Rattus norvegicus: one gene and its partner. The protein of the gene in region 1 binds, or shares a complex with, the protein of each later gene. Links are inferred from orthologs where the notes say so. Each region holds a gene or a part of one and is shown in the gene's direction. Other genes may lie near its edges.

The links. The genes of interacting proteins can lie anywhere in the genome.
Region 2: the proteins of Prelid1 (region 1) and Triap1 are in contact, whole or in part, in a crystal structure (PDB 6I3V), measured with the Homo sapiens proteins. The link is inferred for Rattus norvegicus from reciprocal best matches to the Homo sapiens genes PRELID1 and TRIAP1. Residues at the interface, in NP_037369.1 of Homo sapiens: Trp15, Asp16, Phe19, Ala20, Trp23, Gln24, Tyr26, Pro27, Val34, Leu35, Thr36, Glu37, Asp38, Ile39, Val40, His41, Arg42, Val44, Gln48, Lys49, Leu50, Leu51, Ser52, Arg53, Leu55, Thr57, Tyr79, Leu81, Asp83, Ser84; in NP_057483.1 of Homo sapiens: Met1, Asn2, Ser3, Val4, Lys12, Tyr15, Asp16, Phe19, Asn20, Trp22, Phe23, Phe27, Leu28, Gly30, Asp31, Ser32, Phe41, Tyr44, Gln45, Val48, Gln49, Ile52, Ile57, Pro58, Ile59, Leu62, Glu63, Phe64, Met65, Gly66.

Annotation. Positions count from the first base shown.
Region 1 is NC_086035.1:9,310,709-9,314,932, reverse strand, and holds the start of Prelid1 (PRELI domain-containing protein 1, mitochondrial), read left to right. Parts: upstream 1-1,421; 5' UTR 1,422-1,562; coding exon 1,563-1,654; intron 1,655-2,185; coding exon 2,186-2,411; intron 2,412-3,470; coding exon 3,471-3,584; intron 3,585-3,678; coding exon 3,679-3,757; intron 3,758-4,024; coding exon 4,025-4,167; 3' UTR 4,168-4,224. Other genes in the region: Rab24 (ras-related protein Rab-24), read right to left, coding at 114-213, 296-363, 469-547, 761-829, 909-1,025. UniProt on the Homo sapiens protein: Involved in the modulation of the mitochondrial apoptotic pathway by ensuring the accumulation of cardiolipin (CL) in mitochondrial membranes.
Region 2 is NC_086030.1:46,927,966-46,931,976, reverse strand, and holds Triap1 (TP53-regulated inhibitor of apoptosis 1), read left to right. Parts: upstream 1-1,210; 5' UTR 1,211-1,244; coding exon 1,245-1,391; intron 1,392-2,798; coding exon 2,799-2,882; 3' UTR 2,883-3,704; downstream 3,705-4,011. Other genes in the region: Gatc (glutamyl-tRNA(Gln) amidotransferase subunit C, mitochondrial), read right to left, coding at 841-1,148. UniProt on the Homo sapiens protein: Involved in the modulation of the mitochondrial apoptotic pathway by ensuring the accumulation of cardiolipin (CL) in mitochondrial membranes.

The DNA of each region.
Region 1 (4,224 bases):
AGTTCAAGAAGGCTAGAAAGAAACCAAGGCTGTCATTCCCGTCCTTGAAATCCACTCAAGCAGATATCCCCCCCCCCTCAAGCTCCCATCCTCAGAGACTTAAAAACAGGTACTATCAGCGTAGTCCTGAACGTCATGGAAGTCTACACGACGGCGCCGCCTGTCTTCCTCCAGCAGATCACTCTTAGTGCCACACAGGTAGATTTGACAGCCCTGTAGCAGAAGACAAGGCTGAAATTATCTCCACAGACCAATACAGTCTCTGTCCCTAATCTTGTAGGATCTTGTCACCTACCTCTTCTAAACTGCGGAGCTCCTTAACCCAGAACTTGGCTCTCTCAAAGCTGCTGCTGTCGGTGAGGTCTTGGTAGGGGTAAGACAGGAGACACAATAAGGAACAGTGGCTTCCCGTTGATGCTGGCCTGTAACCCAACTCTTACTTGAACAGGCCAGAGTCCAACCCCTTACCATAACAGACAATTGCAGCTTTAGCACCCCGGTAATAGATTCTGCTCATGGCTTCGTAGCGCTCGGAACCTGCTGTGTCCTGAGGGGTGAAAGGAGTCGATGAGCTCCTTCACAAGACTACAAACTAGGCCCACATCTTCCAGACACCTCCCCTCCTTTTTTCTTAAGATGAGTAAATGGGTGTGCGGAAGAAAAGAACGACCTGTATGAGACTCCGGCTGACCGGTTTAAGAGGCAAGACATTAAATTTCGGGGATAGGTTTGCTCAAGACTCTGTTCTCAAGGGACTTACCCAAATACCCAGAGTCACCGTCCGATCTCCAACACACATCACCTTGGCCACAAAAGCAGCCCCGATGGTCTACAACCAGGGAAGAGATAAGAGTCGAATGCCGGTCGGCCCCCTTCCTCCCAAGCCTGCTCCGCAGGGGTGCACTCACGTTCTGATAGGGCCCCACCAAGAAGCGGTCGTGCACGTATCGTTCCACCAGGCTCGTCTTGCCCACGTATTCCTTGCCCAGCATAACCACCTTGACGTCCACGCGCTGCCCGCTCATGCTCCCGGGGCCGCCTCACCCACTTCAGGGTCTCCGCGGCCCAGGCAGAGCCCAAGCCTCAGACCCCAATCCCAAAGGCCTCGCACTTCGCAGGCTTCTGGTGCCTCGGCCCGGGGCGCTCCGTCCCTTACAGAGCCGCGGCGCGGGGACGCGGACAGCGCCCTCCACCGCGCCGCAGGGCCCTGCGCTGCTCACCCGCGCGACCGTCGCTGCGACAGAAGCTCCGCCGCGCCGGGGTTACCGACTGAAACCGGGTTCCCTATAGCTAACTCCAAACAGCACCTCTGGGACTGGACCACAAGAGGCGGGACGCCCGGTCACGTGACACGAGCGCCGGAAGTGGCCGATCCTGTGCGGCTGGCGCCGGAAGCGTCGCGCAGTCCTATAGCCTCTCATGGCGGCGGTAGGGACCTGGGCGCGGCGCCGCGGTGATTGAGCTGCGAGCCTGGCGGGCGTGCGCCTTGCCACGTGCCCTCCCCACCCCCGGGCTCTTCACCCTGATGCTGCACGGGTGCTGAGCCCGCCCGGGTCGGGACGATGGTGAAGTATTTCCTGGGCCAGAGCGTGCTCCGAAGTTCCTGGGACCAAGTGTTCGCTGCCTTCTGGCAACGGTACCCGAATCCCTATAGGTACGTGGTGGTAGGTAGAGCCAGTCGCCCTCCTCTCTCCATTTGGCTGTCCTTGAATAGTGGAGCCGTGAAAAACTAGAACAGAAAGTCCGATGTGAGCTATCTCCGGTGACTGTGGCCACAGTTATGGCACAAAGTCCTTATAGGATTAAGATCAGGCCAAGTCTGCAAGGTTGTAGATCGTGGTTTATATTAGGCTCTAGATTTCTATTTTGCGGTCGGTCCTAGGGAGACAGGAAGAGTTGAGCGGTAGGTATTTCGGGGCCTGAAATCCTGACGATGGCTTGCTCACCTGCTGGTGGCGCTCTCTAGTGGTATAATTCTTGAGATTTTGCTCGATTTGGAAAGCCACAGAATCCATGTCAGGGTGGAGGAGGGAGTTGGAATTTGCCCGGGGATAGGTTCATTGCACTCTAATTCCGAACCTGGGTACAGATCACTCTGTAAGATTGCAGGAAGCCATGACCTGGAGGCTCTAAATAGTAACCCGTAGACATTTCCTGAGAATCATCTGCATTTTAACACTTGCAGCAAACATGTCTTAACCGAAGACATAGTGCACCGGGAGGTGACCCCTGACCAGAAGCTTCTGTCCCGGAGACTCCTGACCAAGACCAACAGGATGCCACGTTGGGCAGAGCGACTGTTTCCCGCCAACGTTGCTCACTCGGTGTACATCCTGGAGGACTCGATTGTGGACCCACAGAATCAGACCATGACCACCTTCACTTGGAACATCAACCACGCCCGGCTGATGGTGAGACTTCCTTTGGTTCCTCAAAATAGTTGCCCTTCAGATTTCAGGCTGGAGAATTGTGGGAACTTCTGCGGCCAGAGGCGGGCCTCATCTGTAGAGTTCTGCCCTTAGATTGGTCTATCCTTTTTGAGTGGTTGGATTCTCCGGGACTGCCCCTCGGCTCTCAGATGGTGGGGAAAGACACCCATTTTCAAAGCTTGTTACAAGTGCTGTACACAGAGCAGTCGGTTGGTGACATACATACATACATACATACATACATACATACATACATACATACATAGGCTTTCAGGAGTTATACTGGGTGACAAAGGGAGACAGTGACTTCCATCAAGGCTTGGAGGTGTCTGGAATGTGCCTCAGTTTCTGCATGAGATTTGAGGGGATGCATCATGTTCCTTGGATCCTTCGGAAGGCTTGAAATCCCATGTTTGGGGATATTCAGAGTGTCATTTGCCTGTGTGACTAACCTTCAAGCTTCGAGATGATTCTTTCTCAGCTTCTGTAAACTTGAGAGGTGGGAATTGTGTGTTTTGCAAAAGAAAAGCTTTATAAAGATGTGCCCCTCACGGGCACAATGTGAGGAAGGCACCCTTTCCTGCCCGGCACTGTCTGAAGTCACCTCAGCTGAGAGCTCTGCTTGGTAACACAGTGGTGTGTTTGTGACTTCTCTTCACGTTCTTCAGGAGGCTCCCACACCCTTTGATAATAAAAGCTGTCATTATTGGGGGGGAGGGGACGAGAACACACACACACACACACTATCAGGAAGCTCAGAGGGGAGAAAGCAGATGAGAAACACTGTTCACCTCTATATCCAGAGGCCCCAAGCAAAGCCCTGGATCAGGGTGGAATAGCCGCTGATCCCAGGAAACTGCGTTCTACTTCAAAGGGTCAGCATTGAGGTTATAGAGGCAGAACAGCCTCTCTCCGGGCCTGAGATACAAAATGGGAAGAACTTTGTGGGGGCAGGAACTCACCCGATGTTGAGTGCAGGAATATGGTGCTAGCTTGTCTGAGCGTGCCCCTTCAGGGTGCTCAGCCTGACTTCCCTTGAAGGTGGTGGAGGAACGATGTGTTTACTGTGTGAACTCTGACAATAGCGGCTGGACCGAAATCCGTCGGGAGGCCTGGGTCTCCTCTAGCTTATTTGGTGTCTCCAGAGCTGTCCAGGTAAGAGGTTGGGGGCTGGGCTGGGCTGGGCCAGGCCGTGCTGGGCCGGGCCCTGGGTCATTGAGCAACTCTCCCATCATTCTCCTCCTTCCAGGAATTTGGTCTTGCCCGGTTCAAAAGCAATGTGACCAAGACAATGAAGGGCTTTGAATACATCCTGGCCAAGCTACAAGGTGAGAGCCCTAGACACTGTTTCAGGAATCGGGAGGACCCGCACTACCAATAGCTGGAGCGGTCCTACCTCTGCTTAACCAATGAAGCATGGGGCCAGTCTTAGTCTGAGACTCTTTATGTGTGCCCGGAAGGGCTGGAGGGTCAGGAACAGGGGGCTCCAACTATTCCTAAGAAGCCGGGCCCTTCAACAGTGACTGCCGAGGTTGATGAGGGGTTGGATGGGTCTTCTGGGCACCATCTGAAGCCAGCCCCTGTCATTGCCACAGGTGAGGCCCCTTCAAAAACACTTGTTGAGACAGCCAAGGAGGCCAAAGAGAAAGCAAAGGAGACCGCACTGGCAGCTACAGAGAAGGCCAAGGACCTGGCCAACAAGGCCGCCACCAAGCAGCAGCAGCAGCAGCTCGTATAGCCCTCTTCCTCTCCCTCCTCCCCCGTGTACTTGATTATTAAAGATGAACCTGCAGCC
Region 2 (4,011 bases), on another chromosome or scaffold:
CTGACAACCAAGAGCCTGCAGGCCTCAAGCAAACTTTTTTTGGCTTCAGGAGCAGTGCCACATCTTCTGAAGATCTTGGATGGGGAAATGACATCAGGTCAACCGCTGCGAAGTACTGGGTAATGAGGTGCGGGGTAATGTTAGGCAAATAGTGATAACTTCTCTGCATCTGAGCATCAGATCAAAGACCGGAAGGAATCAGACTGGAAGGTGAGAAGAACAGGTGACTAACACGATTTAAACTTCGCAAAGCATTTCACCGATTTCCTGAAACTGATGCTACGTGGGTAATACAGGCTTATAATTAGCACTGATGAAACAGCCAGATTCTATCTCCAAAAACAGGTGAAGCATAACTTGTTATTTGGATGTCCCATATTAGCATAAAACTGATTTGAAGATACATACGTACATACATATATGTATATGTATGTATGTATGTATATATATATAAATATATATATGTATATATGTGTAAATATATATATATATTTCTTCAGCTATTTAATCTGATGCTCAGGTAGGCAAGTGAAAACACCTTAGAGGGAATGAACGTGGTTAGTAAGCCGGTACAGGCTGGAGGCGGGTCCTGAAGGAACAGTACACCCGAGAGGGTGGTAGGGGCTCTATGAAGTAGGGGATTTTCGGACTTTGTTCCTATTTACATCGAGACTGGGAAGACTAGAGGATTCTAAACGGGAGTGACAGGATCTATAATGAACTAGGGGAAGAGTGAAGCCATCCTCGCGGTGACCTGACAAATTTCCAATTATGCAAAGAATCTGAAACAGCCTCCAAGGTGCCCGAGTCAAGACGCCGAGGCCGCAGCCGGGAGCTTACCTGTCCTCCAGAACCGACTCCAGGGGCTCCACCCCGTCGGTGTCCACGGCGTGCAGCTGGTCGGCAAAGGCCACGGCTTTCTCTAGCCGGTCCACCGCCTCGCGGCTGCTGAAGTTCACCAGTGCCAGCCGCTCCAGATGCTCGACTACCGCGGCGGACACGCGATCGGTGCCCTCCGGGACTAGGCGTGGAGCCTGGGTCTTCGGGTCCGCCGCCTGGACCTTTCCGCGTGGACCCACTTTGGAAGCAAAACTTCGGCCCCGGTCCAGAGGAGCCCGAAATTGCACCCTCGCCGCCTGTGCCCACATCTTTGCTTCTCGGCCTCCGTAGCGACAAACGGTGGGGCGACGTGCGCGCGCGTGACGACATTAGAGTGCGTCGCCGTCACTGCAGCTGCGGTCGCCATGAACAGCGTCGGGGAGGCTTGCACTGACATGAAGCGCGAGTACGACCAATGCTTTAACCGCTGGTTTGCTGAGAAGTTTCTCAAAGGAGACGGCTCGGGGGACCCGTGCACCGACCTCTTCAAACGCTACCAACAGTGTGTCCAGGTGAGCTTCGCCCGGACCAGCCGCAGGGCTGCAGCAGCCCTCTTCTCCGCCATCCCACCGAAATTGCTTGGGTGTCGCCGCTTGATACACTGGGATGTTTTCGCGGTGCTTTGCTTTTTACATAGTACATTAGTATTTTGTTGTTGTTGCTCATTTGTTTGGTACTTATTCCAACCTTGCAAGTAGTCATAATTATTCGTATCTTTAAAAATTGCCGTGGCCGGGGCGGTGATCGCGCACACCTTTAATATCCTAGCACACAGGAGGCAGAGGCAGGCGGGTCTCTTGAGTAAGAGGCCACCCTGGTTTACAGAGTTGAGTTCCACGACAGCCAGGACTACACGGAAAAACTCCGTCTCTGGGCGGAAAAAAATGTATGTGTTCCCGTCCGGGATATGTGTTCCCGTCCGGGATAATGTCGGAGACAACTAACGGAGTCAGTTTTCTCCTTTCACATTTATGTGGGTTCTGGGGATAAAGTTCAGGACACCAGGCTTGGTGACAAGACGTTCTGTTATCTATACTTTACACATGGAAAAACTCGTACTCAGAAATAGGAAGTGATTGTTCAAAGGCACTGGAGTCTGGTGACCTCGATTATTTTGGTGGTGTCATTTCACTGTTAAGAGTGGATGTGTTTACCGTATGTTTTAGACTGCTAAGGAATTGCAGAGGTCCCGTTTTGTTACGATCTCTTCGTTGCTCTGTTTTTCCTCCACCTGTTGTACCAATAAGGTTTGATTTCAGGCCAGCACTTTTTTTTTTTAAAGATTTATTTATTTTTATTTATATGAGTACATTGAAGCTGTTTTCAGACACACCAGAAGAGGACATCGGATCCTATTAGAGATGGTTGTGAGCCACCATGTGGTTGCTGGGAATTGAACTCAGGACCTCTGGAAGAGCAGTCAGTGCTCTTAACCACTGAGCCATCCCTCCAGCCCTCAAATCAGCACTTCTAACCTAAAACCATCCCCTGGATTCCAGAAGCTACCTTTAGCCAGTTCTCAGACAGTGAAGGTGACTCAAGGTCACATAGCCGCTTAAACTGAGATTCATATTAAACACTGTCACTAAGATAGAGATAGGTACCTGAACTGACCTTCCCAAGAGCAGGCGTGCATACCACACAGGACTTACATGACAGTCTGCACGTCGGTGCTGCTTGGTAAACCAGTGCTAGAGGTACTCACTTTTAATCCCATGACTCAGAGGCAGGCAGATGTGAGTTCTAGACTACCCGGGGCTACACAATGAAACCTTGTCTCAAATAAAGGGTGCCCCTTGTATTGTGGGTTTCAAGCCATTCCAGTTCAGTCTGGTTTACCTCTGTACCATTATACTTCAGTTACAAAACATGGACTGCAAGCTTCCGTGGACTTATAGTACATTTTCTTCCTCCTTCAGAAAGCAATCAAGGAGAAAGAGATTCCTATTGAAGGACTGGAGTTCATGGGCCATGGCAAAGAAAAGCCAGAAAACTCCTCTTGACCTGCCTGTCACTTGGAAGAAGTCAGTAAATTGAGGGGCCTCTGGGTTTTGTCAGGGAAGGCTGTGAAGCTAATCTGGGATTGGAAGAGTTTAGAGGAGAGTTCTCCACCTTGGTGTTCTGAAGGAGCAGCTGTCACTCCTGCTTTGAGGCAACTTCACTTTTGCTGACATCTTGCTGAACTCCTCATGCTACAATGGGAGAGCTTCTTGGGGGGTGGGGTTAGGTTGCAAAACATGGCGTGGAATCATCTTTAACTGGTTCTCGGATGTAAATATGGTGAACTGGTCAGGACCGAGGCTGCCTGACAGCGTTTGCTGCAGAGGACACTGGGTGTACCCTATGGGAGGCATTGCTCACAATGGTTGGCCTCTTTTTCCTCTCAGGGAGCTAATGCTCTGAAAAGGGATGCGGACACAACCTCCATTTCAATCACTGCTTGGAAACATGATTGTATTTTTAGAGTAACAGTTTCAACTGCTGGTGGCCTGGGTTATGGGAGTAGAAAACAGCTTTACTGAGCTCCTGCCTTAACAGAGGTGTCACCTTAACATTCAGAAGCTTTGGAAATGACATCAACACCACTTTGGAGCTCACAGCACTGCTGCTCATAACTCCAGCACCCAGCTGAGCAAGAGGCACCTGCATTACAGGTTTGCTGTTGCTAACTTTCAACTCCACGAATTAACATCAACATGCGTTATCACATAGAAGGCAAAATGCATCCAGCTAAGTGGGGGAAAGGTGCTTACTGATTTTTGTTTGCCTACCATGCCCTAAGTCTGTAATCATGAAATAAATAAATCTTAAAAATCACATCTTACTCTCCACTTCTGAAACCTGCCCTCTATTGAACAGTATTTCCTGTTGTCTTGTGTATCTCATTTTGTTGCAGAGCCAGCTTGGCTCTGAACTTGGTTTAAGCCTAGGTGACTGATCAGCACTTAGATTAGAAATCTGACTTTGTGGCTGGCCTCCCACCTTTGCTGAAACCACACTGGATTACGAGTTCACTATCACACTCACCTATATAAACAGCCCCTTTAAATATTATTCAGTGTGGTTCCAAACCAATGTTACGTAGTCCTCACACCTGCCTACCTTCAACAGGATTTATTATGTCCCTAAAGA